Anolis sagrei: one gene and its partners. The protein of the gene in region 1 interacts with the protein of each later gene in a pairwise test. Links are inferred from orthologs where the notes say so. Each region holds a gene or a part of one and is shown in the gene's direction. Other genes may lie near its edges. The genes, in order: TASOR2, ERH, KLHL40 and NEK6.

Region 1 (7,944 bases):
TTTTAAAAATACTGTTAATATTTAATTCTATTTTAAATTGTATTGGTTTGACTGTCAGCCACTTTGTGTCACCTTTTTTGAGAGAGAAAAATTGAGGTATAACTAATAATAATAATTACCATTGCATTGCAACATTCTGCTGGGTGTCAAACTGTGTTAATTCTACTGTGTAGACCAGGCATGGGCAAACTTCAGCCCTCCCTCCAGGTGTTTTGGACTTCAACTTCCACAATTCCTAACAGAAGGTATTGCCCATGCCTGATAGAGATGCAACCTGGCTCTTCTTGCATGTTTATCCCTTTCTTGCAACATGGACATTCCCTCCATGGCTTCCATCCCCACATTCTAAAAACACGTATGTTTTTGACTGGTCTTTATTGACAGACTTCCTTCCCCTCCCCTCTTTCTTTCGATTTGCAAAGCAAGTTTACTCCTTCCAGCTTTCTGTTTCTCTTTTCAAAGCTAGATTAGTCTCTCCCTCCCTCCCTTCATCTAGCTTTTCTTTTTGGAAAGCCTGCTTAGTCCCTCCCTCTTCCTTCCTTTGAAAAGGCAGTTTAGTGTCTCTTTCTTTCTTTCCTTCCAAAGGCAGTTTAGTGTCTCTTTCTTTCTCTCTCTCTTTCTTTACAAAGGCATTTTAGTGTCTTTCTTTTTTTCTTTCTTTCCAAAGGCAGTTTAGTGTCACCATCCCTCTTCCTTCCTTTTCCTTCCTTTCCAAAGGCAGTTTAGTGTCTCCATCCCTCTTCCTTCCTTCCAAAGGCAGTTTAGTGTCTCTTTCTTTCTCTCTCTTTCCAAAGGCAGTTTAGTGTCTTTCTTTCCAAAGGCAGTTTAGTGTCTCCATCCCTCTTCCTTCCTTCCAAAGGCAGTTTAGTGTCTCTTTCTTTCTCTCTCTTTCCAAAGGCAGTTTAGTGTCTTTCTTTCCAAAGGCAGTTTAGTATCTCCATCCCTCTTCCTTCCTTCCTTCCTTTCCAAAGGCAGTTTAGTGTCTCCATCCCTCTTCCTTCCTTCCAAAGGCAGTTTAGTGTCTCTTTCTTTCTCTCTCTTTCCAAAGGCAGTTTAGTGTCTTTCTTTCCAAAGGCAGTTTAGTGTCTCCATCCCTCTTCCTTCCTTCCAAAGGCAGTTTAGTGTCTCTTTCTTTCTCTCTCTTTCCAAAGGCAGTTTAGTGTCTTTCTTTCCAAAGGCAGTTTAGTATCTCCATCCCTCTTCCTTCCTTCCTTCCTTTCCAAAGGCAGTTTAGTGTCTCTCTCTCTCTCTCTCTTTCTTTCCAAAGGCAGTTTAGTGTCACCATCCCTCTTCCTTCCTTCCTAAAGGCAGTTTAGTGTCTCCATCCCTTTTTCTTTCCTTCCTTCCTTCCCTTCCTTCCTTCCAAAGGCAGTTTAGTGTCTCTTTCTTTCTCTTTCCAAAGGCAGTTTAGTGTCTTTCTTTCTTTCCAAAGGCAGTTTAGTGTCTCCATCCCTCTTCCTTCCTTCCTTCTTTCCTTCCAAAGGCAGTTTAGTGTCTCTTTCTCTCTCTTTCTTTCTTTCCAAAGGCAGTTTAGTGTCTTTCTTTCTTTCCAAAGGCAGTTTAGTGTCACCATCCCTCTTCCTTCCTTTCCAAAGGCAGTTTAGTGTCTCCATCCCTTTTTCTTTCCTTCCTTCCTTCCTTCCTTCCAAAGGCAGTTTAGTGTCTCTTTCTTTCTCTTTCCAAAGGCAGTTTAGTGTCTCTTTCTTTCTCTTTCCAAAGGCAGTTTAGTGTCTCTTTCTTTCTCTTTCCAAAGGCAGTTTAGTGTCTCTTTCTTTCTCTTTCCAAAGGCAGTTTAGTGTCTCTTTCTTTCTCTTTCCAAAGGCAGTTTAGTGTCTCTTTCTTTCTCTTTCCAAAGGCAGTTTAGTGTCTCTTTCTTTCTCTTTCCAAAGGCAGTTTAGTGTCTCTTTCTTTCTCTTTCCAAAGGCAGTTTAGTGTCTTTCTTTCTTTCCAAAGGCAGTTTAGTGTCTCCATCCCTCTTCCTTCCTTCCTTCCTTCCTTCCTTCCTTTCCAAAGGCAGTTTAGTGTCTCTCTCTCTCTCTTTCCAAAGGCAGTTTAGTGTCTTTCTTTCTTTCCTTCCAAAGGCAGTTTAGTGTCTCCATCCCTCTTTCCTTCCTTTCCAAAGGCAGTTTAGTGTCTCCAACCCTCTTTCTCTTTCTTTCTCTCTCTTTCTATCTGTCCATCCATCCATCCATCCTATGGCAGTTGGATGGATGAATTATAAAGGCAGTTTCATGTCTCCACCCCTCTTCCTTCCTTCCTTCCTTTGCAAAGGCAGTTTCATGTCCCCATCCCTCCTTCCTTCCTTCCTTCCTTCCTTCCTTCCTTCCTTCCTTCCTTCCTTCCTCTGCAAAGGCAGTTTCATGTCTCCACCCCTCTTCCTTCCTTCCTTTGCAAAGGCAGTTCCATGTCCCCATCCCTCTTTTCTTCCTTCCTTCCTTCACAAAGGCAGTTCCATGTCCCCACCCCTCTTTTCTTCCTTCCTTCCTTCCTTCCTTCGCAAAGGCAGTTTCATGTCCCCATCCCTCTTTTCTTCCTTCCTTCCTTCCATCCTTCCTTCGCAAAGGCAGTTCCATGTCCCCATCCCTCTTTTCTTCCTTCCTTTGCAAAGGCAGTTCCATGTCCCCATCCCTCTTTTCTTCCTTCCTTCCTTCTTTCCTCTGCAAAGGCAGTTTCATGTCCCCATCCCTCTTTTCTTCCTTCCTTCCTTCCTTCCTTCCTTCTTTCCTCTGCAAAGGCAGTTTCATGTCCCCATCTCTCTTTTCTTCCTTCCTTCTTTCCTCTGCAAAGGCAGTTTCATGTCCCCATCTCTCTTTTCTTCCTTCCTTCCTTCCTTCCTTCTTTCCTCTGCAAAGTCAGTTTCATGTCCCCATCCCTCTTTTCTTCCTTCCTTTGCAAAGGCAGTTCCATGTCCCCATCCCTCTTTTCTTCCTTCCTTCCTTCCTTCGCAAAGGCAGTTTCATGTCCCCATCCCTCTTTTCTTCTTTCCTTCGCAAAGGCAGTTTCATGTCTCCACCCCTCTTCCTTCCTTCCTTCCTTCCTTCCTTCGCAAAGGCAGTTTCATGTCCCCATCCCTCTTCCTTCCTTTCTTCGCAAAGGCAGTTTCATGTCCCCATCTCTCTTTTCTTCCTTCCTTCCTCTGCAAAGGCAGTTTCATGTCCCCATCCCTCTTTTCTTCCTTCCTTCTTTCCTCTGCAAAGGCAGTTTCATGTCCCCATCTCTCTTTTCTTCCTTCCTTCCTTCTTTCCTCTGCAAAGGCAGTTTCATGTCCCCATCCCTCTTTTCTTCCTTCCTTCCTTCTTTCCTCTGCAAAGGCAGTTTCATGTCCCCATCTCTCTTTTCTTCCTTCCTTCCTTCCTTCTTTCCTCTGCAAAGGCAGTTTCATGTCCCCATCTCTCTTTTCTTCCTTCCTTCTTTCCTTCTTTCCTCTGCAAAGGCAGTTTCATGTCCCCATCCCTCTTTTCTTCCTTCCTTTCTCTACAAAGGCAGTTTCATGACTCCACCCGTCTTCCTTCCTTCGCAAAGGCAGTTTCATGTCCCCATCCCTCTTTTCTTCCTTCCTTCCTCAGCAAAGGCAGTTTCATGTCTCCATCCCTTTCTTTCTCTGCAAAGGCAGTTTCATGTCCCCATCCTTCCTTTGCAAAAGCAGTTTAGTGTCGCCATCCCTCCTTCCATCATCAGTTTAGTCTGTCTTCCTCCCTTAGCCAGTTTAGTCCTTCCCTCTTTCTTTCCATTCCTGTCTTTGCAAAGCTAGTCCCTATCCCTCCCTCCCTCCATTTATCTATCATATTTGCAAATGCAGTTTAGTACCTCCCTCTTCCTTTCTTTTTTGCAAAGCCAGTTTAGTCCCTCCCTCCCTCTTCCTTCCTTCCTTGCAAAGCCCTTCCTTCCTTCCTTCTTTACTTTATTTCTCTGCAAAGGCAATTTCATGTCTCCATCCCTCTTTTCTTCCTTCCTTTGCAAAAGCAGTTTCATGTCTCCTTTCTTTCCTTCTTTCTTTGCAAAAGCAGTTTAGTGTCTCCATCCCTCCTTCCATCATCAGTTTAGTCTGTCTTCCTCCCTTAGCCAGTTTAGACCCCTTTCTTTCTTTTCCTATCTTTGCAAAGCTAGTTTAGTGTCCCTATGCCTCCCCCCTTCCATCCCTTTATCTATCATTTTTGCAAATGCAGTTTAGTCCCTCCCTCTTCCTTTCTTTTTTGCAAAGCCAGTTTAGTCCCTCCCTCTTCCTTCCTTTGCAAAGGCAGTCTCATGTCTCCTTCCTTCCTTCCTTTGCAAAAGCAGTTTAGTGTCTCCCTCCCTCCTTCCATCATCAGTTTAGTCTGTCTTCCTCCCTTAGCCAGTTCAGTCCTTCCCTCTTTCTTTCCTTTCCTGTCTTTTCAAACCAATCCCTATCCCTCTCTCCCTCCTTCCATCCCTTTATCTATCATTTTTGCAAATGCAGTTTAGTCCCTCCCTCTTCCTTTCTTTTTTGCAAAGCCAGTTTAGTCCCTCCCTCTTCCTTCCTTTGCAAAGGCAGTCTCATGTCTCCTTCCTTCCTTCCTTTGCAAAAGCAGTTTAGTGTCTCCCTCCCTCCTTCCATCATCAGTTTAGTCTGTCTTCCTCCCTTAGCCAGTTCAGTCCTTCCCTCTTTCTTTCCTTTCCTGTCTTTTCAAACCAATCCCTATCCCTCTCTCCCTCCTTCCATCCCTTTATCTATCATTTTTGCAAATGCAGTTTAGTCCCTCCCTCTTCCTTTCTGTTTTGCAAACCCAGTTTAGTCCCTCCCTCCCTCTTCCTTCCTTCCTTCCTTGCAAGTCCTTCCTTCCTTCCCTTTTTCCTTTTCCCAGTTTAGTCCCTCCCTCCCTCTTTCTTTCCACCTTTCTTGCAAAGCCCTTCCTTCCTCCTTCCTTTTTTCCTTTTCCTCCCTCCCTCCCTTCCTAAGAGTGCACCCAAATGTGCATTGCATCAGTTCCCTTTCTGCAGGAAATGCCAGACGCCTGGCCCAGCCAAGGCGGGGACTCCTTCCGGGTCAGTTTTCACTTTCTCTCTGCCTCTCTTGCCTTCGCTTTGTTTTCACTTCCAGGGCAAAAGAGGCTTCCCTCCCCCTCCCTTCCCTTCCCCCCCTTTGCAAAGAAGACTGGAGCAGCAGACATGTTTCCTAGCCTGGCCTTGGCGCATTTCTCCAGGGTCCCAGGTTGCATCCCAGGTTGAGTTGCAGTCCTTGCAAGAGAGAGATTTTTGCAAAGAATTATTTGCAATTTTTGGAGGGTTTTTTGCTTGTCTTCCCTTTGCGACATTGCAAGCTATGGGGAGACTTGGGTGAGACCTCGATTTTGGTTTAAATCTATGTTTTATGACTAGGATTTTTTAGGAATTCCATATATTTATATATCTCCTGCTCCCCTTTTTTGCATCCTTTGCAATTTCCTCTTTTTTTTTGCAACTGGGTGCATTTTTTAAAAGCAAAACTCGGGTCTATCTATCTATCTGTCAATAACTGAGACAGAATTTCCACCGGATCCGTCTCGTGTGAACCCAAAACGAAGTGAATCACTCACTTGCAAGAATCGGGTTTCCTAATTGGATCCAAAGGGAGACCCAGTTTTTTCCCCCCTGGGCCATGGGAAGGCTCCAAGGCTTGAGGACCTGGACACGTGTTGATGGTGAGTGGGAACGTGTGGACGGGAGGACACGTGTCAGGGAGGTCGGGTGGACTCCTGGGTGCATTTACACTGACCCCACTTGGGAGTGTCATGGCTCAGTGAGGTGAGAGTTGTAGTTTTGCAAGGTCCCAGTGGGCACAGGATGCCACCCGAGTGGCTTGGTTCCAGCCCAGTTTCGGTTCTTTTTCCCCCTTCTCTCCTTGGACCAGGCTGGGCTCCAGGGCCGAAGTTTGGTTTCGGTCTCTGGTTTCCCTCGCCAGGCCCTGCCTGGGTCTCCTCGGAAGTCAGGCCCAAGGAGGAAGGAAAGGGAAGGGGAAAGGGAAGCAGGATGAGGGAAGGAAGGAAGGAAGGAAGGAAAGAGCGAAAAGGGAGGGAGGAAACTTGGAGACAAACTAGGAAGGAAGGAAGGGAAGGAGGGAGAAACAAAGAGGAAAGGAAGAAAGGAAGCAAAGAAGGGAGAAACAAGGAAGGGAGGAAAGAAAGGAAGGAGGGAAAAAGAGGAAGGAAAGAGACAACCTAGGAAGGGAGGAAGGAAAGAGGGAGAGGAAGGAAGGGAGAAACAAGGAAGGAAAGGAAGAGGAAACAGGAAAGGAAGGAAGGAAAGAGACAACCTAGGAAGGGAGAGGAAGGAAGGGAGAAACAAGGAAGGAAAGGAAGGGGAAACAGGAAAGGGAGGGAGGAAGGAAAGAGACAACCTAGGAAGGGAGGAAGGAAAGAGGGAGAGGAAGGAAGGAAGGAACAAGGAAGGAAAGGAAGGGGAAACAGGAAAGGAAGGAAGGAAAGAGACAACCTAGGAAGGGAGGAAGGAAAGAGGGAGAGGAAGGAAGGAAGGGAGAAACAAGGAAGGAAAGGAAGGGGAAACAGGAAAGGGAGGAAGGAAAGAGACAACCTAGGAAGGAAAGAGGGAGAGGAAGGAAGAGAGAAACAAGGAAGGAACGGAAGGGGAAACAGGAAAGGGAGGGAGGAAGGAAAGAGACAACCTAGGAAGGGAGGAAGGAAAGAGGGAGAGGAAGGAAGGAAAGGAAGGAAGGAGACAAACTAGGAAGAAATATGAGAAAGGAAAGAAGGAAGGAAGGAAACTTGGAAGTAAGGAGACAAACTAGGAAGGAAAGGGAAGAAAGAAGAAACAAAGGAGAAAATGGAAGGAAGGAGAGAAATAAGGAAGGTAGCTAGGTAGGAAGAAACAAGGGAGGAGACGAACTAGGAAGAAACATGAGGAGGGAAAGAAAGAAGGAAAGAGAAGAAAGGAAGGAAAAAGGGAAAGGGAGGGAGGAGGGAAAAGGAGGAAGGAAACTTGGGAGGAAGGAGACAAACGAGGAAGGAAGGAAGAAGAAACAAAGGAGGGAAAGGGAGGAAGGAGAAACAAGGAAGGAAGGCGAGCAACTAGAAAAGGAGAGAAATAAGGAAGAAAGGAGACAAACTAGGAAAAACATGAGAAAGGAAGGAGAATGAAGGGAGAAACAATGGAGGGAGGAAAGAGGGAAAGGGAGGGTGGAAGGAAAGAGGAAAAGGGAGGAAGAAAACTTGGGAGGAAGGAGACAAAATAGGAAGGAAGGAAGAAGAAACAAAGGAGGGAAAGGGAGGAAGAGAGACTAGAAAGGAAGGAGACTGAAGGAGAGAAATAAGGAAAGTAGTTATAAAGGAAGGAGACAAACTAGGAAGAAACATGAGAAATGAAGGAGAAGGAAGGAAGGAGAGAAACCAGGAAAGAAGGAAGGAGATAAACTAGACAAGAAAGAAAGAAGGAAACTTAGAAAGACAGAAAGCTGTAAGGAAGGAAAAAGAAGTGGAAGGAAGGAAGAAGAGAAAAACCAAGAAGAAAAGAAGGAGATAAACTGGCAAGAATGAGGGGGAGAACTAAGAAAGTAAGGAAAGAGATGGAGGGAGGAAACTTGAAAGAAGGAAGGTTAGAAGAAAGGAGAAGCAAGAAAAGAAGGAGAGAAACTAGGAAGGAAAGGAGGGAAACTTGGAAAGACAAAATTGGAAGGAAAGAAAGGAAACTAGAAAAGAAAGAAGGAGAGGAAACTTAGAGGGAAGAAGAGAAAGTTGGAAAAAGGAAGGAAAAAGAAAAACTAGGAAGAGAAGGAGAGAAGCTGTAAAGAAAGAAGGAAGGAGAGAAGGAAGGAAGGAGAGAAAGTTGAAAGAAATGAAACAGGAGGGGAAGGAGGGAGGGAGGGAAGGAAACTAAAGAAGGAAATGAGAAACACCTGGAAGGAAGAGAAACTAGAAAGAAAGAAAGAAAGAAAGAAAGAAAGGTGAGAGTTGGAAGGAAAGAAGGAGAGGAAACTTAGAAGGAAGAAGAGAA
Region 2 (6,970 bases), on another chromosome or scaffold:
CCAGCTTTTTATTTAGCCAGTCAGAAAAAATAAGGTCATCCAAGCAAGTAAGTAACTGCCTCTGTAGCTCATAGATACATCAAGAATGCTGGGAAGTTTGTGATCTATGATTTATGCAGGCCTGGTGGTAGACATTATGGATATCAGAGTGAGAGAGAGAAAACTTCGCACACTGCTATAATCAGCATAATTTCCACATTGCATGTTACTTTTTACCCATTAGTATATATATTATAATAATCTACAGTGCTCCCTTGAGTGTTCTCATTCTGCTACAATCCCATATTTCCCTAGAAGCTTCACTGACCTCAATGAGACCCATTTCAGAGTACATATATATAGACTGAAGTATATACAGGCAGTCTCCAAGTTACAAACAAGATAGGTTATGTAGGCTTGTTCTTAAGTTGAATTTGTAAGTTGGAACAGGTGCATTTTTAAATATAACACCTGCCAAAAATACATCTATATTAGCTTATGATAGCATAGGGAAGGGTTAACACCATTGTGGTGTATGCTTTGCTATCTGTTTTGAAAAGATTTTACTCAGAAAGTGCTTACTGCCATACAGAAGTAATCCTAGGTAATCCCACATCACTCAAGATTTTCTTTTTAAGGAACCAGAGCTTTTGTCACATCTTACGCCTCAAATAATTGAACCCAATCAGAATTATGCAATATAGATCAGAGCTAACTGGAATGTGCAGTTTTCTCTCTCCTGGTAGACTTTCAGAGCATCTGTTCAATTCCTTATCCTTAAGATCTCCTACTTGTTTCCTTACTCCTTTTAAGAAGCCTACTCCTACTCCTTTTTACAAGAGTGTATTTCCCATCCACTGAAACTTTATCCACTAGGGATGCATCTAGACTGCAGAATTAATGCAATTCGACTTCACTTTAACTGTCATGGTTCGATGCTATTGAGTCCTGGGAGTTCTAGTATCTCAAGGTCTTTGCCTTGCGGAACTACATTTCCCAGGATTCCATAGCATGGCAGTTCACAGAATCATAGAGCTAGAAGTCCACAAGAGCCATGCAATCCAACTCCTTGACATGCAGGAATACACAATCAAAGCTGTCCCTATGGACAGCCACCCAAGATCTGCTTAGAAACCTCCAGAGTTGGAGATTCCATCACATTCTGAGGCCACTTCTACATCTAAAATCCAGATTATCCGCTTTGAACTGGAGTATATGGCACTACAGACTCATAGAATACAGTTCAAAACAGATAATGTGGATTATTTACTTTGATAATCTGGATGATATGGCAGTGTAGCAGGGGCCTGAGGCACATAAAGAGCTGTTCATATTCCTGTTGAACAGCGCTTACTGTCAGGAAGTTCTTCTGAATGTTCACATGGAATCTTTTTTCCTATAACTTGAATCCATTGTTTCTCCTAGGCCTCAGAGCTGAATTTTCATTTATTTATTTCTATCTTGCCTTTCTCCACCCCGGAGGGGACTCAAGGCGGCTTTCACTTAGGCAACTATTCAATGCCTTCAAAGGCAATGTACAAATAAAATAAACCTTTAAAATAGAATTATATGATACATTAAAACATATAAAACAATACCTTCACTGTTAACCACGTTATTTATCACGTCAGAAGGTAACTGAAGACATAATTATAATGTATTTAAAACCACAAAGGAAGTTTAAAAACTTGGCATTATTCTAAATGTCCTTTGAACAGGAGCTGTTCATTTGGAGTGCCTCTGGTGTTGCTATGGGAAGGTCCTTTGCTGTGCATACGGCAGGGCTCAGGTTGCATTGTAGTTGGTGGTCTGTGGCTGCAGCATACAACCAAACCACTGAATAAAATATCACATTATCTGCTTTGAATTGTAATATATGTCAATGTGGGCTCAGATAACCCAGGTCAAAGAAGATATTGTGGGATTTTCTGCCTTGATATTGTGGGTTATATGACTGTGTGGAAGGGCCCCTAGTCTCCAGAGCAGCAGAAAACACGTTTGCCATTTCCTCAATGTGACATCCTTTCACTTATGAAACATGGTTGTCATGTCCCCTCTCAGCCTTCCTCTCTCCAGATAAACATCCCTAGTTCCCTCACCTGCTTCTCAAAGAGCTTTGTCTCAGATCATTTCAGTCATCTTCTCCAAGCTGAACATAGTATCAAAGTGCGCTGATTCGACAGCATAGAACAGGTATGGACAAACTTGGCCCCTCCAGATGTTTTGGACTTCAACTCCCACAATTCCTAACAGCCCCAGTACTTTTCCTTTTCCCCCTCAGCTGCTTAAGGTACACTTGATCTTAAACAAAGGCTGAGGGGTGATCATAACCTACCAACACATACATTAGCCACAGGATGGGATATTAAAGCCAGCAAATTGTCTGAATTGCACATAATAGGTTTTTAGCACAATAAAGGTAAATGTAGCTGCAGAAGGTATTCCAGTAAAGTAATAGTAAGGTCAGTTTTCTGAGTGTCAAGCCATAACTGGTTCAAATGGGAGCTTGGCTGAATAGCCTGGCCCTCCACCATTTGTATTTAAGGTTTAGGGGTGAAGTATCTTTTATGGGTCCAATTAGTGCATCATATTCTCCTAGTGCTGTCATCCAGAGTGGGATCAGTGTCACATTTGGTAGTGACTTGTCTCCCAGTTAGATCTATAGCACTACCCCCCCCCCCCAAGCAGGTTCATGAGACCCTCCAGATTGTTCAGGTGGGATTGATTGATTTGATCGTTTTAACTAGTAATAACTGTTGATGTTAAATTGTAAATTGTACTTTGTGAATTGTTGGGCATCGAATTGTGCCTTTTCTAAGCCGCCCTGAGTCCCCCCTAGGGGGTTGAGAAGGGCGGAGTAGAAGCACTCCAAATAAATAAATAGGAATTTAACAGAGATCTTTCTAATTCTGTACATGTCCCAGTTTTTGGCAAAAGCATCAGTACAGCCCTCATTATGCCTAAAACGCTGAAGCAGCTGAAGAGGAAAAAGAAAGGGCCTGAGACTGTTAGGAATTGAAGTCCAAAACATCTGGAGAGCCCAAGTTTGCCCATGCCTGGTGAAGAAGCACTCCTTTCTTAACACTCTGATGTGAAAAGGGAGAACAGAGCAGTGAGAGAAGGCCTGCTTACCTCGGAAAAGTTTACGGCTAGCGGGATGATGCCTGCCACATAGCAGCCCACCAGCATCGCTAGAGACAGCAGGCTGATCGACAAGAAGTCGTCCATGGCCGGCTCCTCTTACGTTACAGTTTCCCAGGGAATTCCAGAAAGGGAAGAGGCCTCATGGGCCCGAAACACCCGGGGTGGGCGGCAGGAAAGCGGGCAGCACTCTGCTTCGAGGCTGGGGGCCCTTCTCTAACGGAGGGCGGGCGAGAAGAGGCACGGGCGAGAAGAGGAAGCTCGCCAAGGCCCTCACACAACCTTCCTGAGGAGGAGAAGGGAGGAAGTGCCTCAGGTTCAGGCCCCGGGCCCTCACCACCTGCCCCTCACTGTCCCACCGCCGCCACTGCGAGTGGAGTCCTCCTCCTCCGCCTCAGAAGCGGCCATCAAGGGCCAAGTGGCAGCTTCTCCCTCACTTCCTCTTCCCTTCCTTAACTTCCGGAACACTTGGCAGTGAAAGAGAGGCGTACGAGCGAGCAGGCCTCGCTGGATTCGCTCCTTTCTTTCCCGCCCAATTTTAAGATGGCGGCGAAGCGAACGAAGGTCAACGCCGCCCCGCCCACCGCTAGCCATTCCTAAGGCGGGCCTCGACTACACTACTCCGGCGCCCTGACCAAAGATGGCCGCTTTCGTCTCCCGCGCGAGGAAAAGTCAACGCAGAAGTGAGATCTCGCGAGGCTGGCGCTGTTGACGCTCTACCTCCTGCGGCTCTCCTCAGAAAACGGTGGCACCTCTATGGTTCTCGTGCGGGATTTGGAGTCTACAGTCAGTTTCCGGCGGCCGCGGAGCATTGTGGTTGAGAAGTCGTTAGGAGTTTGCTTCGCGCCCGAGCCGAACAGAAAAGAATCGCCATGGTGAGTTCAGAGAGGGGGTTTTGAGCGGCGAAGAGACTCGGAATTGACTGAAGGAGGCGGAGGCTTTTCGCTTGGTGCCTCGCAGTTCACTTGAGAAGGCTTCGGGCCTAAAGGCGAGGAGGCAATGGCGAGGGGCGAGGGTCGGTCTCTACAAAGCCTATTATGCGTGGCCTCTGAGAAACAGCGAAGCCCTCCCTCCTCGCCCTCCCAAGACTTCCCTAAGTCGACCTTAGCGAGACAGAGTGCATCCACACTGGAGAATTAATTCAGTTTCACGCCACTTTGACTTCCATGGCGCCATGCTATGGAATCCTGAGAGGTAGCAGTTTCGTGAGGTGCCAGCACCGTTTGGTAGAGGACGCTAAGGACCGTGTAGAGCAGGCAAGGGCAAACTCTGGCCCTCCACGTGTTTTGGACTCCAACTCCCATCATTCCTAACAGCCTCAGGCCCCTTCCTTTTCCCCCTCAGCCGCTTAAGGGACACAATTCGTAGAATAGAATCAAACAGTTGGAAGAGACCTCATGGGCCATCCAGTCCAACCCCCTGCCAAGAAGCAGGAAAATTGCGTTCAAAGCACCCCTGACAGATGGCCATCTAGCCTCTGTTTAAAAGCTTCCAAAGGAGGAGCTTCCATCACACTCCGGGGCAGAGAGTTCCACTGCTGAACGGCTCTCACAGTCAGGAAGTTCTTCCTAATGTTCAGATGGAATCTCCTTTCTTGTAGTTTGAAGCCATTGCTCCGCATCCTAGTCTCCAGGGCAGCTGAAAACAAGCCTCCTTATGATTTCCTCTCACGTATTTATGTATGGCTATCATGTCTCCTCTCAGCCTTCTCTTCTTCAGGCTAAACATGCCCAGCTCTTTAAGCCACCCCTCATAGGGCTTGTTCTCCAGACCCTTGATCACTTTAGTCACCCTCCTCTGGACACATTCCAACATGTCAATTGTGGTGCCCAGAATTATTTATTTATTTATTTACTGCACTTGTAGACCGCCGTTCTCAGCCCTGGAGCGACTCACGGCGGTGTAATTGGACACAATATTCCAGATGTGATCTAACAAAGGCAGAATAGAGGGGCAGCATTACTTCCCTAGATCTAGACACTATACTCCTATTGATGCAGGCCAAAATCCCATTGGCTTTCTTTGCCGGTGCATCACATTGTTGACTCATGTTTAACTTCTTGTCCACGAGGACCCCAAGACCTTTTTCACACGTACTGCTCCCAAGCCATGCGTCCCCCATTCTGTATCTTTACATTTCCTTTTTTCTGCCTAAGTGGAGTATCTTGCATTTGTCACTGTTGAACTTCATTTTGTTAGTTTGGCCCATCTCTCTAATCTGTTAAGATCATTTTGAATTCTGCTCCTGTCTTCTGGAGTATTGGCTATCCTTCCCAAATTGGTGTCGTCTGCAAATAGAATAGATGGTGAAGTTGAGATTTTATGGACCGTAATTTGGACTGATGTGGAGGATGTTTTAAACCCGGTAAACTGTTTTTAATGTATATTTAAAATCATTTAATGCAATTGTGTATTTTATTGCTGTTTTTATATTGTATTAACATCGAATTGTTGCCTGCTGGTAGCCGCTCTGAGTCCCTCCTCGGAGGTCGAGAATAGGACGGAATATAAATGTTCTAAATAAATAAATTCGAATTGTGTATGAATGAAACTTGGGAGCATCCATGGATTTTGTTGTCTACAGGCATCCTGAGACCAAACATAATGGGCCATGCTATTGTAGTCTAAAGCTGTAGGTTCTCTTATGTAAAACCATGCTAGTAAATTGTATATTTTGTAAAAATTTATCTTAAAAAGCATTTCACACACTCCAAATGAGAAAGATTTCTTTAAGAGGTCTTTTTGCTGGACTCTGAAAAAGAACCCACTCACAAATTATTATTTTTTTATTCAGTGTATTTCTTCTAGTAAAATATATGCTTGATTATTTTCCTTAGAGACAGAACTTGTTAAAATTAGTAATAGGTATATCCATAATTTAAAAGCAATGTATTGAACCAAATATATTATATATATCAGGATTTCACCTGTGTACCCATAATAGATGTGTAGTTGGGCTACTGTTATATGTGCAATTAACTGAGAGTAAGCCTCATTTTTTGACCTTTTACTTTGTGAACATAGCTGTTCCACATAGTCTACTACTTACTAACTGGCATGCTGTACTGATCAGAAACTTTCAATGAATGACCAAAGCAGTCCCATGTTCCCACGTAGAAAGCTTGCAATCATCCTAATATTTAAAAATAATTTCATTTGGCAAGCTGCTAGCAGTTGGCACTTCAATAAATAGCTTGTCTGCTTAACATTCTAGTTGTCAAGAGTATTTTTCCAAATCTTCATTTTTAAATATATATCACATTTCTTTCATTCTAAGATGCACTTTTCTCTCTTTTAAATACCTCTAAAAGGGGGGTTCACATTAGAATCATGCATATATATATATAAAGCTTTGTTGTTGGTGGTACTGAAATTAGTGTGAAATTGCATCTTATTTTCTGCATGTGGCCATAACATACATTCAGTTAAATTCTATTCTCTATCATGAAATTTTCCCATTGTGCAATACATCCTTAAAAACAAACCTATTTTACGTAGAAAATTAAAATAGGACAGGGCGGGGGAAATAGCCATTGTTCTTCAGTGTTTGCATTATTTTTGTATGATTAGTACACTTCAGCATTTGATGTAAATAACATGCTTTATTCTGGTACATTCAGAAGTCTAAATAAATGTTGTGTTTGCTTTTGTACAGTCTCACACAATTTTGCTTGTTCAGCCTACCAAACGACCAGAAGGCAGAACTTACGCTGATTATGAATCTGTGAATGAGTGCATGGAAGGTAATATTCCTGCTGTAGATTACTTGATGCTAAATCAATGTTAAAAGTTGGGGATTCCTTTTAAACCTGGCCAGTTAAGCCAATAACTGAAGAAGCAATTATTGGCT
Region 3 (7,857 bases), on another chromosome or scaffold:
GAGTTTTTGTTCTTTAGCCTTCTCTGCCCAAAGGTGCGGGTGCCTCACTAAACTACAGCTCCCAGGATTCCATAGCACTGAACCATGGCAGTCAATGTTGGGTCAAAATGCATTAAGTCGACAGTGTAGATGCACCCATCATCTGAGCCAGGTTGACTTCCTTTAGGTTTAATTTGTCAATAGCAATATTCCAAATCAGTCTTCCTCAATGTGGCATTTCAATGTGTTGGACTACAATACCCATCATCCACAATGACTGCCTGTGGATGGTAAGTGCTGTAGTCTGAAGCATCCAGATGAGGTTGGAGAAGGTAATTAATTATTGGGCAACTACAGAGAGTGCCCAATTGCCAGATTGCCAATATCCGCTGGATAATGGAGAAAGGCAGGGAGTTTCAGAAAAACATCTACTTCTGCTTCATTGACTATTCTAAAGCCTTTGACTGTGTGGATCATAATAAATTGTGGCAAGTTCTTGGTGGGATGGGCACCTCAAGCCCCCTTCCCTCTCTCCTGAGGAATCTGTACAAGGACCAAGGAGCCACAGTCAGAACTGACCACGGAGGAACAGACTGGTTCAAGATTGGGAAAGGTGTCCGGCAAGGCTGCATCCTCTCACCCAACCTTTTTAACTTGTATGCAGAACACATCATGCGAGGATGTGCGGGGCTGGATGAATGCAAAGCTGGGGTGAAAATTGCTGGAAGAAACATTAACAACCTCAGATATGCAGATGACACCACCCTGATGGCCGAAAGCGAGGAGGAGCTGAGGAGCCTTCTAATCAAGGTGAAAGAAGAAAGCGCAAAAGCCGGGTTGCAGCTAAACGTCAAAAAAACCAAGATTATGGCAACAAGAATGATTGACAACTGGGAAATAGAAGGAGAAACCGTGGAGGCCGTGACAGACTTTGTATTTCTAGGGGCAAAGATTACTGCAGATGCAGACTGTGGCCAGGAAATCAGAAGACGCTTCCTTCTTGGGAGGAGAGCAATGTCCAGTCTCGATAAAATAGTGAAGAGTAGAGACATCAGACTGACAACAAAGATCCATTGCCTAGTCAAAGCCATGGTATTCCCTGTAGTCACCTACGGATGTGAGAGCTGGACCTTAGGGAAGGCTGAGCGAAGGAAGAGAGATGCTTTTGAACTGTGATGTTGGAGGAAAGTGCTGAGAGTGCCTTGGACTGCGAGAAGATCCAACCAGTCCATCCTCCAGGAAATAAAGCCCAGCTGCTCATTGGAGGGAAGGAGACTAGAGACAAAGTTGAAGTACTTTGGCCACATCATGAGGAGACAGCAAAGCCTAGAGAAGACAATTATGCTGGGGAAAGTGGAAGGCAAAAGGAAGAGGGGCCAACCAAGGGCAAGATGGATGGATGGCATCCTTGAAGTGACTGGACTGACCTTGAAGGAGCTGGGGGTGGTGACGGCCGACAGGGAGCTCTGGCGTGGGCTGGTCCATGAGGTCACAAAGAGTCGGAGACGACTGAACGAATGAACAACAACAACAACAACAAACAGAGAGTGCACCTACACAGTAGAATTAATGCAGTTTGACCCCACTTGAACTAACATGGCTAAGTGCCTTATCACAGAAGGCAAAAGACCTAGTAAAACTACAACTCCCACTATTCCATAGCATTGGGATATGGCAGTTAAAGTGTTGAACTATTGAAGAGTTCATCATTCACTGGTTTAATTAATATAGGCTTTCTAAGAAACTCTAGGTCATCCTACAACTTCAGTTGGATGTTTACTAAAGAGTTGTGCTGGAGTACCGAGAGATTGCTAGTATTTATTTGTCGTGTCAGGGCAACCAGTGAATTGTATTACATTTCTAACAGAACAAAACAAACAAACAGACAGACAAAACACAAAATTTGCAAGTTTGGTAGTTGATTAGATGTCCATTGACCAGTATCTCGCCACTTGGAGTGCTTCTGGTGTTGCCACAAGAAGGTCCTCCATTGTGCATGTGGCAGGGCTCAGATTGCATTGCAGCAGGTGGTCAGTGGTTTGCTCTTCTCCACACTCGCATGATGTGGATTCCACTTTGTGGCCCCATTTCTTGAGGTTGGCTCTGCATCTCATGGTGCCAGAGCGCAGTCTGTTCTGCCCCTTCCAAGTCGCCCAGTCTTCTGTGTGCCCAGGAGGGAGTCTCTCATCTGGTATCAGCCATTGGTTCAGGTTCTGGGTTTGAACCTGCCACTTTTGGACTCTCGCTTGCTGAAGCGTTCCAGCGAGTGTCTCTGTAGATCTTAGAAAACTATTTCTAGATTTAAGTCGTTGACGTGCTGGCGGATACCTAAACAGGGGATGAGCTGGAGATGTCTCTGCCTTGGTCCTTTCACTATTGGCTGCTACTTCCCGGTGGATGTCAGGTGGTGCAATACCGGCTAAGCAGTGTAGTTTCTCCAGTGGTGTAGGGCGCAGAAACCCCGTGATAATGCGGCATGTCTCATTAAGAGCCACATACACTGTTTTAGCGTGGTGAGATGTGTTCCACACTGGGCATGCATACTCAGCAGCAGAGGAGCATAGCGCAAGGGCAGATGTCTTTACTGTGTCTGGTTGTGATCCACAAGTTGTGCCAGTCAGCTTTCGTATGATATTGTTTCTAGCACCCACTTTTTGCTTGATGTTCAGGCAGTGCTAGTGAGAATCATAGAATCCTAGGGTTGGAAGAGACCTCGTGAGCCATCCAGTCCAACCCCCTACCAAGAAGCAGGACAATCACTTTCAAAGCATCCCCAACAGATGGCCATCCAGCCCCTGTTTAAAAGCCTCCATAGAAGGAGCCTCCACCACACTTCGGCACAGAGAGTTCCACTGCTGAACAGCTCTCACAGTCAGGAAGTTCTTCCTCGTGTTCAGGTGGAATCTCCTTTCCTGTAGTTTGAAGCCATTGCTCCATTGCATCCAGGGCAGCAGAAAACAAGCTTGCACCCTCCTTATTATGACTTCCCCTCACATATTGATACATGGCTATCATGTCTCCTCTCAGCCTTCTCTTCTGCGGGCTAAACATGCCCAGCTCTTTAAGAACTCCTCTCTATGAATCTCTAGGTCCAAAGTGAAGGTTTGACTGTAAAAAGTTTATTTTACATGGCATCTTTACTCTGCTGTACCTGAGGTGGCATCGGATATAACCTCTCCTCTGAAACATCCAGATACTTGGAACAGCCATGTGCACAGAACCATATATATATATGTAGCGTACCTGGATTTCAGGAAGGCCTTCGACAAGGTCCCCCATGACCTTCTGGCAAACAAACTAGTCCAATGTGGGCTAGGCAAAACTATGGTGAGGTGGATCTGGAATTGGTTAAATGGACGAACCCAGAGGGTGATTCTCTCCAATGCTTCCTCTTCATCCTGGAAAGAAGTGACGAGCGGAATGCCGCAGGGTTCCGTCCTGGTCCTGGTCCTGTTCAACATCTTTACTCCTGAGGACAGGAGCAGGATTCAAAACGATCTTGACAGATTAGAGAGATGGGCCAAAACTAACAAATGAAGTTCAGCAGTGACAAATGCAAGATACTCCACTTTGGCAGGAAAAACGAAAAGCAAAGAGACAGAATGGGGGACGATGCCTGGCTTGAGAGCAGTACGTGTGAAAAAGACCTTGGAGTCCTCGTGGACAACAAGTTAAACATGAGCCAGGAATGTGATGTGGCGGCAAAAAAAGCCAATGGGATTTTGGCCTGCATCAATAGGAGCATAGTATCTAGATCCAGGGAAGTCATGCTACCCCTCTATTCCACTTTGGTTAGACCACACCTGGAATATTGTGTCCAATTCTGGGTACCACAATTCAAGAGAGATATTGACAAGCTGGAATGTGTCCAGAGGAGGGCGACTCAAATGATCACGGGTCTGGAGAACAAGCCCTATGAGGAGAGGCTTAAGGAGCTGGGCATGTTTACCCTGAAGAAGAGAAGGCTGAGAGGAGATATGATAGCCATGTATAAATATGTGAGAGGAAGCCGCAGGGAGGAGGGAGCAAGCTTGTTCTCTGCTTCCCTGGAGACTAGGACACGAAACAATGGTTTAAACTACAAGAAAGGAGATTCCATCTGAACATGAGGAAGAACTTCCTGACTGTGAGAGCCGTTCAGCAGTGGAACTCTCTGCGCCAGAGTGTGGTGGGGGTTCCTTCTTTGGAAGCTTTTAAACAGAGGCTGGATGGCCATCTGTCAGGGCTGATTTGAATGCAATATTCCTGCTTCTTGGCAGGGGGTTGGACTGGATGGCCCATGAGGTCTCTTTCAACTCTTTGATTCTATGATTATATATATATATATATATATATATATATATATATATATATAGCAATGAATCAAATTTATGATCAATAGCCTCCGCGACTTGGAAGAGAGAGAGATGTCCTCATGCCACAACAAATAATCAGAGGCATTTCTTCCCTGTTTATTCAACTCTGACTTTGCAGTATATTTTTAGCACATTAAGCCTTGCGCTGGATTTAGAAGGCGAGAGCAGGGATGTGGCATCTGTGGGTACGCTCCAATGTGTGTGCATGTGCTGAAGAGAGGGATAGAAGGATATGAACCCAAACACAGATCCCATAACTGATTTTAGAGCCTTCATTGCTGTGATTTACTCCAAGGCGTAACTTGTTCCTAGAGGGGCTGCTCACAAGTCTTGGGCTGGGGGCGAAAGACCTTCAGGAAAAAGAAATATACCTCTCCTGAGTGAATCATCGTGACAGCGTCTGTCATAGATCTAGAATTACACTTACAGCTGTTGCTCCTTGTGTCGTCCCCCTCCCCTTCCGCAAGAGCCATCCCTCCCTGGTGGGCCAGTTTGTCATATTAAAAGGTGATCGGCTTACACATGCTCCCGAATGGATTCCCTAAGCTTTGTAACGCCGTGGCTATATATATAAAAACCCCTCGCGCTGTGGAAACTGAGCCACACAGCCAGCTGGACAAGCAGCCAGGCTCATATTCTTGGTCAGCGCTCCATCAGGAATCAAGAAAGAGCTCTCCCAGGTTCACAAGAGCTGGAAGACCGGGTCAACGAAGAAGACCAGACAAGTTTTCAACCATGGCCGTCTCCTTAGAACAAGCGGAAGAGTTACGTCTCTACCAGCAAACGCTTCTTCAAGATGGTCTCAAGGACTTGCTGGACCACAACAAGTTCTTGGATTGTGTCCTGAAGGTGAAAGGGAAGGAGTTTCCATGTCACCGCTTGGTCCTGGCAGCTTGCAGTCCTTACTTCAGGGCCATGTTCCTCTCGGATATGGAAGAGAGCAAGAAAAGGGAGATCAGCTTAGAAGATGTGGATCCAGACGTCATGGGCAAGATCCTCCATTACATCTACACCTCAGAACTGGAGCTCACCGAGCAGAACGTTCAGGATATCTTCTCCGTGGCCAACATGTTCCAGATCCCTTCCATTTTCACCGTCTGTGTCTCTTTCCTTCAGAAGCGGCTTTGCCTCAGCAACTGCTTGGCCATTTTCAGGCTGGGTTTGATGTTGGACTGTGCCCGCTTGGCAGTCGCTGCCCGGGATTTCATCTGTGACCGCTTTGCCTTGATCTCCCGGGATGAGGAATTCTTCCAGCTCTCCCCCGATGAACTCATTGCCATCATCTCCAGTGATTCCCTGAATATCGAGAAGGAAGAGTCCGTCTTTGAGGTGGTGATGAAATGGGCCACAACCAAAGACCGGGAGAGCCGAGCAAAGGCCCTGCCAGTGGTCTTTGACAGCATCCGTTTTCGCCTCATTGAGAAGGATTACTTCAAGGATCATGTGGAGAAGCACCCTCTGGTCAAGTCCAGCCCAGAACTTCTCAAGAAGTTGCAGATGGTGAAGGACGCCCATGAAGGGAAATTTGCAGTGGTGAAAAGAGTGAAGAAAAAAGGGGAGAAGAAGGCTGGGGACAATGTCATCAATGGAGGAGTAGAGGAAGACGGTGTTGAGAAGGAGGAGGAGGAAGCAGAGGAAGGTCTCCCAGGGATCTTGAATGACACCATGAGGTTTGGGATGTTTCTTCAAGATCTCATTTTCATGGTCAGTGACTCGGGGGCGGTGGCCTATGACCCGTCAGCCAATGAGTGCTTTTACGCCTCACTTTCTGCCCAGATCCCAAAGAACCACGTCAGCCTGGTCACCCGCGAGAACCAGGTCTTCATAGCAGGGGGACTTTACTACAATGAGGACAATAAAGAAGATCCAATGAACTCCTATTTCTTGCAGGTAATGGATAACTCCTCCCAATGCACATATTTCTGCTTTTGAACCAAGAGCTGTATTCGTCTCTTGTTGGAATGGGGAGTCAACCCCAAGTGATTTTAATCTTTATGGCATAGCTTTAGTTTGACTCCCTCTTTCACGTATCATATTGGGAGGGCGGAGATTACTCTGACAAATATCTATATACTGCAAAATTTCCAACATTTCACAAATGAAAACCAAAATGCATACAACTTAGGGCCTTTCCACACAACCCTATATCCCAGAATATCAAGGTAGGAAATCCCACATTATCTGAGTGTGGACTCAGACAACCCAGTTCAAAGCAGATATTGTGGGATTTTCTGCCTTGATATTCTGGGATATAGGGCTGTGTGGAAGGGAACCAAGAAATATAAGAATGCAGTCAAGTTGGGAAAACTTTATAATGAAGAAGAATGCATCAATAGTTTGCTTTTGCCAAAGCCTACTGGGAAGGGCAAGATGGTGCCTTCTTCTCCTTCTCATCTGAAAACTACATCCATACTTTGAATTCAGGTCCCTCCCACACAGCCATATGTATAATCCACAATATCTGCATTGAACTGAGTTATCTGAGTCCACACTAGCATATAATCCAGTTCAATGTGGATTTGATACATCTGTTTGGAAGGGGCCTCAGTTTGCTGGAGTGGATAAAAGCAAGGAGAAATTGGGAGGAGGAAAGATCCACTGGGACATTTTGGAAAAACAGATGAGAAAATGGGATGACAGGATCAATCAGGGCTGTGCCTCCCAAACTGGGACCAGTTTGATACTGTGATTTACGTGTGAAAAGGGGGACAAATCCCTTCCCAGATTGGAGAAAAGGATTGTCCCGCTCAGCATCCTGATTACAATGAGTGACAGGTGACAATAGAAACTGATGTGATCCCAGCATTTGGTGTTTAGAGAGATACTCTGGTTTCAAGAGACATAAAAATCAAATGGGTCCGACCAGTCATAAATGCTAGTGGGCTGTGGCTTAATCTGACCAAGTAGTCATTTGAAAAGTGATTGATGATTTCCACTCTTTTGCTGGAGGTATTGAAGCAGAGTCTGGGTAGCCATGCACTTGACATGCTATGGATGTGCTCTACATTGAGAATTAGATTACTTTCAAAGCACCCTTGGGGTTATGGGGTTCCATATTTCCAGGAACCCCATAACATTTAAAACCAGGATTATCCGATCTGTATTTTGGCGAGCATGGGATAGACTATCCCAGCGGGTAATGGACTCCCCTTGATTAGTGGTTTTTAAGTAGAACTCTGATGACCAACTCTTGGAGTTGCTTCATCTGATCTCCTTGCATTATATATCTCAGCAAAACATTTACTAGTTATGTGAGTCTTTAAATAACACTATGGCCCCTTCCACACAACTGTATAAAATCCCACATTATCTGCTTTGAATTGGATTATATGGCAATGCGGACACAGATAATCCAGATCAAAGCAGATATTGTGGATATTCTTGATATTCTGGGTTATATGGCTGTGTCAAAGGGTCCTAAGTGATATCTCAAGATGGTTCACCTGTTATCTCCATGGTTGCCTTCTACTTCTTTGCAGTATGACCACCTGGATTCAGACTGGCTTGGGATGCCGCCTCTTCC
Region 4 (7,523 bases), on another chromosome or scaffold:
ACTCTGTATTTCTAGGCGCAAAGATGAGTGCAGATGCAGACTGTGGCCAGGAAATCAGAAGATGCTTCCTTCTTGGGAGGAGAGCAATGTCCAGTCTCGATCAAAGAGTGAAGAGTAGAGACATCAGACTGGCAACCAAGATCCATTGCCTAGTCAAAGCCATGGTCTTCCCTGTAGTAGTCACCTACGGATGTGAGAGCTGGACCTTCGGGAAGGCCGAGCGAAGGAAGAGAGATGCTTTTGAGCTGTGGTGTTGGAGGAAAGTCCTGAGAGTGCCTTGGACTGCGAGAAGATCCAACCAGTCCATCCTCCAGGAAAGAAAGCCCGGCTGCTCACTGGAGGGAAAGATACTAGAGACAAAGCGGAAGTCCTTTGAATGCCACATCATGAGGAGACAGCAAAGCCTAGAGAAGACAATGATGCTGGGGAAAGTGGAAGGCAAAAGGAAGAGGGGCCGACCAAGGGCAAGACGGATGGATGGCATCCTTGAAGTGACTGGACTGACCTTGAGGGAGCTGGGGGTGGTGACGGCCGACAGGGAGCTCTGGCGTGGGCTGGTCCATGAGGTCACAAAGAGTCGGAGACGACTGAACAAATGAACAACAACAACAATGCCTCTGATCAATGTACTGGTATGCTTGCATGTGAATGATCACTGCAATGGCATCCGCTTCAGCTGAATCGCTCATTAAACCTCGATGCCTCTTCTTCGCCTTGGCAAGAGTCTCATTTCAATTATTAATATCAATAAAATTACTGGAATTAGGCTTCTCTGACGGCTTGCCAAGTACAAGGGACTCTCTTTGGTGCGGTCCTAGAGGTCTCTCTTACTGGGGAGACCCTCCTAAAGTCCGTATTGACTTCATAAGGTTTCACTGGGTAGTTGTAGGTTTTCTGGGCTGCCTTTCCATGTTTTGGAAACATTCTCTCCTGACGTTTCTCCCACATCTATGGCAGGCATCCTCAGAGGTTGAGGGGTTTGTCAGAAAATGGTCAAGTTGGACTTATATACCTTTGGAATGATGTCCAGGGTGGGAGAAAGGACTCTTGTCTGTTGGAGGCACGTTTGAATGGTGCAGCTGGTCACCTTGATAATAATAATAATAATAATAATAATAATAATAATAATAATATTTTTTGGTCATGTCAGGAGCAACTTGAGAAACTGCAAGTCGCTCCCGTTGTGAGAGAATTGACTGTCTGCAAGGATGTTGCCCAGGGGACATTGCCTGGATGATTTGGTGTTTTTATCATCCTTGTGGGAGGCTTCTCTCATGTCCCCTTTGCATGAGGAGCTGGAGCTAATAGAGGGAGCTCATCCACCTCTCCCTGGATTCAAACCTGCGACCTGTCACTCTTCAGTCCTGCCGGCACAGGGGTTTTATAATAATAATAATAATAATAATAATCTTTATTTATACCTCGCCATCATCTCCCCAATGGGGACTCGGGGCAGCTAACATGAGGCCAAGCCCAAAAATGCAATACAACACAATAAAATACAGAATACAGAAAGAAAATTACATCGGAAGATAATTACAATTGTTGTTGTTGTTCATTCGTTCAGTCGTCTCCGACTCTTCGTGACCTCGTGGACCAGCCCACGCCAGAGCTCCCTGTTGGCCGTCACCACCCCCAGCTCCTTCAAGGTCAGTCCAGTCACTTCAAGGATGCCATCCATCCATCTTGCCCTTGGTCGGCCCCTCTTCCTTTTGCCTTCCACTTTCCCCAGCATAATTGTCTTCTCTAGGCTTTCCTGTCTCCTCATGAGGTGGCCTTCAAAGGACTTCCGCTTTCCCTCTAGTCTCCTTCCCTCCAATGAGCAGCCGGGCTTTCTTTCCTGGAGGATGGACTGGTTGGATCTTCTCGCAGTCCAAGGCACTCTCGGAACTTTCCTCCAACACCACAGCTCAAAAGCATCTCTCTTCCTTGGCTCAGCCTTCCCTAAGGTCCAGCTCTCACATCCGTAGGTGACTACTACAGGGAAGACCATGGCTTTGACTAGGCAATGGATCTTGGTTGCCAGTCTGATGTCTCTGCTCTTGACTATTTTATCGAGATTGGACATTGCTCTCCTCCCAAGAAGGAAGCGTCTTCTGATGTCCTGGCCACAGTCTGCGTCTGCACTCATCTTTGCGCCTAGAAATACAAACCCTGTCACGGCCTCCACGTTTTCTCCCTCTATTTCCCAGTTGTCAATCATTCTTGTTGCCATCATCTTGGTTTTTTTGACGTTTAGCTGCAACCCGGCTTTTGCGCTTTCTTCTTTCCCCTTGATGAGAAGGCTCCTCAGCTCCTCCTCGCTTTCGGCCATCAGAGTGGTGTCATCTGCATATCTGAGGTTGTTCATGTTTCTTCCAGCCATTTTCACCCCAGCTTTGCATTCATCCAGCCCCGCACATCCTCGCATGATGTGTTCTGCATACACGTTAAAAAGGTTGGGTGAGAGGATGCAGCCTTGCCGGACGCCTTTCCCAATCTGGAACCCGTCTCCTGTTCCGTGGTCAGTTCTGACTGCGGCTCCTTGGTCCTTGGACAGATTCCTCAGGAGAGAGGGAAGGGGGCTTGGGATGCCCATCCCACCAAGAACTTGCCACCATTTATGATGATCATTCACACAGTCCAAGGCTTTAGAAGAGTCAATGAAGCAGAAATAGATGTTTTTCTGAAACTCCCTGCCTTCCTCCATTCTCTAGCATCCGGATATTGGCACTCTGGTCTCTGGTTCCTCTGCCTTTTCTAAACCCAGCTTGAACATCTGGCCACTCTCTCGCTCCATGTCTGGCTGGAGTCTTCCTTGCAGGATCTTGAGCATTCCCTTCCTGGCATGATGAGAAATAAGGATCACCGCCTTGTTGTGGCGCTGGAGCTTGAGCACCTCAATGATGTCATGAGCGAAACCGTGAAGGGCCACCCAAGACGGGACGGTCGTGGCAGAGAGGTCAGACCAAGCGTGATCCCTGCGGAAGGCAATGGCAAACCACCCCAGTATCCTTGCCAGGAAAACTAAATGGACCAGATTACAACAGCAAAGTAAAATAATAAAGCAAATTCACACAAAATAAAATCGAACAAGATGGGCAGGCCAAATGGACAAGGTGAAATAATAAAATAATAATAATAAAAAAATTAGCATTGAATGCCCTTGCAGCTTCAAAGCCTGGGTGCTTCCTGCCCTTCTGGGCATCTTGCCTAGTTTCCAACAGACCCATTAATAAGCCACGCCCACTCCCGAAGCCACGCCCCACACCCTCCCCTCATTTCTCCAATCCGGCTCCGCCTTCCTATCCTCACGCGCATGCGCGAGTCAGCCTCTCTTTTAGACGGGAACGGAGAGAAAGGATAAGAAGGGGGCGGGGCCACCAGCGAAGCCACGCCTCCTTAAAATTATACCAAACTGACGCCTTCCTTCCCATGCGCATGCGCGCTCCAGAGAGTGTCTTTTTTGACAGGAACGAATAGAGGTAAAACGAGAAGGGGCGGGGCCACAAGGAGACCACGCCCCCTCTCTCCCCTTCATTTCCCTTTTCTAATCCAGAAGCCTTCCTTCTCAGACGCATGCGCACACGCGTGTGTGTATCAATCTTGGAGGGAAACGAGAAGGGGCGGGGCCACAAAGAAACCACGCCCCCTTTCCCTTCATTTCTCTGACTCCTTCCTTCTCAGACGCATGCGCACACGCGAGAGAGTGTCAGTTTTAGAGGGAAACGAGAAGGGGCGGGGCCACAAAGAAACCACGCCCCCGTCCCTTCATTTCCCTGACTCCTTCCTTCTCAGACGCATGCGCACACGCGAGAGAGTGTCAGTTTTAGAGGGAAACGAGAAGGGGCGGGGCCACAAAGAAACCACGCCCCCTTTCCCTTCATTTCCCTGACTCCTTCCTTCTCAGACGCATGCGCACACGCGAGAGAATGTGTGTTACTCTTGGAGGGAAACGAGAAGGGGCGGGGCCACAAGGAGACCACGCCCCCTTTCTCCCCTTCATTTCCTTTTTCTAATCCAGACTCCCTCTTTCTCAGACGCATGCGCACACGCGAGAGAATGTGTGTTACTCTTGGAGGGAAACGAGAAGGGGCGGGACCACAAGGAAACCACGCCCCATTTCCCTTCATTTCCCTGACTCCTTCTTTCTCAGACGCATGCGCACATGCGAGAGAGAGAATGTGTGTCAGTCTTGGAGGGAAACGAGAAGGGGCGGGGCCACGACGAAGCCGTCTTTTTCCTCTCACGCATGCGCGATAGAGAGAGAGAAACGCTTGAGTTCTGAGACAGGAGCGGAAAGTAGGGGGCGGGGCTAGCAAGGAGCGGCCTGCGTGGCAAGCTTCTTAGCGAGGGTCGGGAGCGCGCACGCACGGCGCACGCACGCCTTCTCCTCTCTCTCTCTCGCGAGCGCGCACGCTCCCTGTGAGAAGAGAGTTTGGAGTGCTGCTGGCTCTTGCCCGGAAGGGGGCGGGGGCGCGCGGCGGCGGGGGCGTGCCTCGGGGGCGCGCCTGGGCCTGGAGTTTCCCCCTCAGAGACAGAGAGTGGAAGGGAGCGCGCCTGGGCCTCTCTCTCTCTCTCTCAGCCAGGCCTCTCCGGGCAGGTAAGGCAGGCCTGGCCTCTTAGGCCTCGGCTTCTTTCTTCACCTCAACTCCCTCCCTCCCTTGAGTTCCCCTCACTCCAAAGCCCCCCCTCCCCTTTAAACCCTCGCTGTCAATCATTCCCCCCTCTGAGGGGGGCGGGTCTTCCTCCTTCCCTCCCTCCCCCAAGGACACCCCCGCCCTCAGGAATGCCAATGGAGGGGGATTGTTTACTTCTTTGGGTCTCCCTTTGGGCCCCCTCCACACACCTGTATCCCTTCCACATGGAACTGGGTTACACGCCAGTCTGGACTCAGGTAACTCAGTTCAAAGCAGGCCTCCTGCTACCCCTCTATTCTGCTTTGGTTAGACCACTTTACCTGGAATATTGTGTCCAATTCTGGGCACCACAATTCAAGAGAGATCTTGACTCTAAGCTGGAATGTGTCCAGAGGAGGAGGCAGACTCAAATGATCCAGGGTCTGGAGAACAAGCCCTATGAGGAGCGGCTTAGGGAACTGGGCATGTTTAGCCTGAAGAAGAGAAGGCTGAGAGGAGACATGATGAGGGCCATGTATAAATGTGTGAGAGGAAGCCACAGGGAGGAGGAGGGAGCAAGCTTGTTTTCTGCTTCCTTGGAGACTAGGACGCAATGGGACAATGGCTTCAAACTACAAGAGAGGAGATTCCATCTGAACATGAGGAAGAACTTCCTGGCTGTGAGAGCCGTTCAGCAGTGGAACTCTCTGCCCCGGAGGGAGTGTGGTGGAAGCTCCTTCTTTGGAAGCTTTTAAGCAGAGGCTGGATGGCCATCTGTCAGGGGTGCTTTGAATGCAATATTCCTGCTTTTTGGCAGAATGGGGTTGGACTGGATGAGGGCCCAGGAGGTCTCTTCCAACTCTTTGATTCTATGATTCTGGGTTGCATGGCTGTGTTGAAGGGCCCTGAGTCAGGAATGCCAATGGATGTTGATTGTTTACTCCTTTGGGGCGCCCTGGGTCTCCCTTTGGGCCCCCTCCACACAGCTGTATCCCATCCACATTACAGTTACAATGGAACAGCCACCTGACACAGGGATGCAGTCGTTATATCCAATGGCTGAATCCATGACATTGTTAATCTCTCCAACGTCAGAATGGGAACTGATCAAATCTGGCATGGTGTCATTTCCAGGTGAGTTATGTAAAACTGGGTTAAATGCCAGTCTGGACTCAGGTAACTCTTCCCCTTTCGCCAATCCTTGATTTCCCGGTTTACATGCCTGTGATGAAGGGCCCTGAGTCTACACACATGTATAACCCAGTTCAAAGCAGGCATTGTGGACATTGTGCCTTGATTTCCAGAGTTAGATGCTTGTGATGAAGGTCCCCGAGTCTACACACATGTATAATCCAGTTCAAAGCAGGCATTGTGGACGATCTACCTTGATTTCCAGGGTTAGATGCCTATGATGAAGGCCCCTGAGTCTACACACATGTATAATCCAGTTCAAAGCAGGCATTGTGGACATTGTGCCTTGATTTTCAGGGTTACATAATACAATATTATAATTATAGGTTTTATATTACATGTAATATTACTAATATTGTAGCAATATAATGGTATAGTACAATATAGTAATATATAATACTTATATTGTACTATGCTATATATATATATAGTAAGCCACTCTGAGTCCCCTTCGGGGTGAGAAGGGTGGCATATAAATGCCGTAAATAATAATAATAATAATAATAATAATAATGTGGCTTGGCCGAGCCCAAATACAACAATAAAAACAGCAGCAGCAACAACAACACAATAACTCAAAAAAACAAAAAAACAAAGCAATAACATTAACAACATCTAATGACGCAATTAAAAACAATGGCCGGGCCAAATGTAATAATTCAAATTAAAAAGTGCTGAGCATGGCAAGGTGGGGTGTTTGGAGGGGGATGGGCATATAAATGAATACATGGCTGTGAGAAGGTCCCTCAGTCTACATGGACATATAATCCAGTTCAAAGCAGATCTTGTGGATTTTATATAGCTGTGTGTAATGGGCCTAGTTGTCTAGTTGCCCCTTCTATGCTGCCATATAACCCAGAATATCAAAGCAAACAAAGCACATGATCTGCTTTGAACTGTGTTATACGGCAGCGTAGACTCAGGGCCCTTCCACGCTGCCATATAACAAAGATTATCAAAGCAGATAATCCACATGCTTTGCTTTGAACTGGGTTATATGGCAGTGTATATGAAAAGATGTTCTAAAGAACAGGGAGTCAGGTTGGTGTTCTGCTGCCCTCTCCAACATTAGTACCAAAAAGGTTACGAATCAGTTTTTGGTCAACTTTAGATTTGGTTTGGTTATTTGGGGTGCTGATTCAGAAAATTGCATTGGATAGACCACATCAGCTCCAGTTTCTAATACAGAACACATGCCATCCAGTAGTCGCCATCTGCTCGGCCAGAGAAAACCAGGGACCACTCTCCAACATAAGTACCAAAAGGGTTATGAATCGGTTTTTGGTCAATGTAAGATTGGGTTTGGTTATTTGGGGTGCTGGTTTTGAAAATTGCCTGTGATAGACCACATCGGCTCTAGTTTCTGATACAGAACATATGCCATCCCGTAGTCTGCTCTTCCACAGGGACCACTCTCCAGCATTAGTACCAAAAAGCTTACGAATCAGTTTTTGGTCAACTTTAGATTAGGTTTGGTTATTTGGGGTGCTGATTCAGAAAACTGCATTGGGTAGACCACATCAGCTCAAGTTTCTGCTACAGGACATATGCCACCCAGTAGTCGCCATCTGCTCGCCCACAGAATACCATATTTAATAAACTTCGGCACTATAAGAGGGCTTTGCAAGACCAGACGCTCTCGTTTCTCCCTTTCGCCTTCCGTTAGTTCCTCTTTGAATTCTGCAGCACTGCTGGTCACAGCTGACCTCCAGTTAGAGTGCTCAAGGGCCAGGA

Evidence for each region.
Region 2: the proteins of TASOR2 (region 1) and ERH interact in binary tests that used the Homo sapiens proteins (3 or more experiments, as listed by UniProt). The two-hybrid records come from large-scale screens. The link is inferred for Anolis sagrei from reciprocal best matches to the Homo sapiens genes TASOR2 and ERH.
Region 3: the proteins of TASOR2 (region 1) and KLHL40 interact in binary tests that used the Homo sapiens proteins (3 or more experiments, as listed by UniProt). The two-hybrid records come from large-scale screens. The link is inferred for Anolis sagrei from reciprocal best matches to the Homo sapiens genes TASOR2 and KLHL40.
Region 4: the proteins of TASOR2 (region 1) and NEK6 interact in binary tests that used the Homo sapiens proteins (3 or more experiments, as listed by UniProt). The link is inferred for Anolis sagrei from reciprocal best matches to the Homo sapiens genes TASOR2 and NEK6.

The regions. Positions count from the first base shown.
Region 1 is NC_090025.1:194,106,038-194,113,981, reverse strand, and holds the start of TASOR2 (protein TASOR 2), read left to right. Parts: upstream 1-4,899; 5' UTR 4,900-5,639; intron 5,640-7,944.
Region 2 is NC_090021.1:283,410,168-283,417,137, reverse strand, and holds the start of ERH (enhancer of rudimentary homolog), read left to right. Parts: upstream 1-3,888; 5' UTR 3,889-3,992; coding exon 3,993-3,995; intron 3,996-6,775; coding exon 6,776-6,863; intron 6,864-6,970. Other genes in the region: SLC39A9 (zinc transporter ZIP9), read right to left, coding at 3,112-3,207. UniProt on the Homo sapiens protein: May have a role in the cell cycle.
Region 3 is NC_090026.1:127,205,077-127,212,933, reverse strand, and holds the start of KLHL40 (kelch-like protein 40), read left to right. Parts: upstream 1-4,843; 5' UTR 4,844-4,856; coding exon 4,857-6,224; intron 6,225-7,813; coding exon 7,814-7,857. UniProt on the Homo sapiens protein: Substrate-specific adapter of a BCR (BTB-CUL3-RBX1) E3 ubiquitin ligase complex that acts as a key regulator of skeletal muscle development.
Region 4 is NC_090031.1:625,909-633,431, reverse strand, and holds the start of NEK6 (serine/threonine-protein kinase Nek6), read left to right. Parts: upstream 1-4,457; 5' UTR 4,458-4,582; intron 4,583-4,854; exon of another isoform or gene 4,855-4,876; intron 4,877-7,523. UniProt on the Homo sapiens protein: Protein kinase which plays an important role in mitotic cell cycle progression. Required for chromosome segregation at metaphase-anaphase transition, robust mitotic spindle formation and cytokinesis.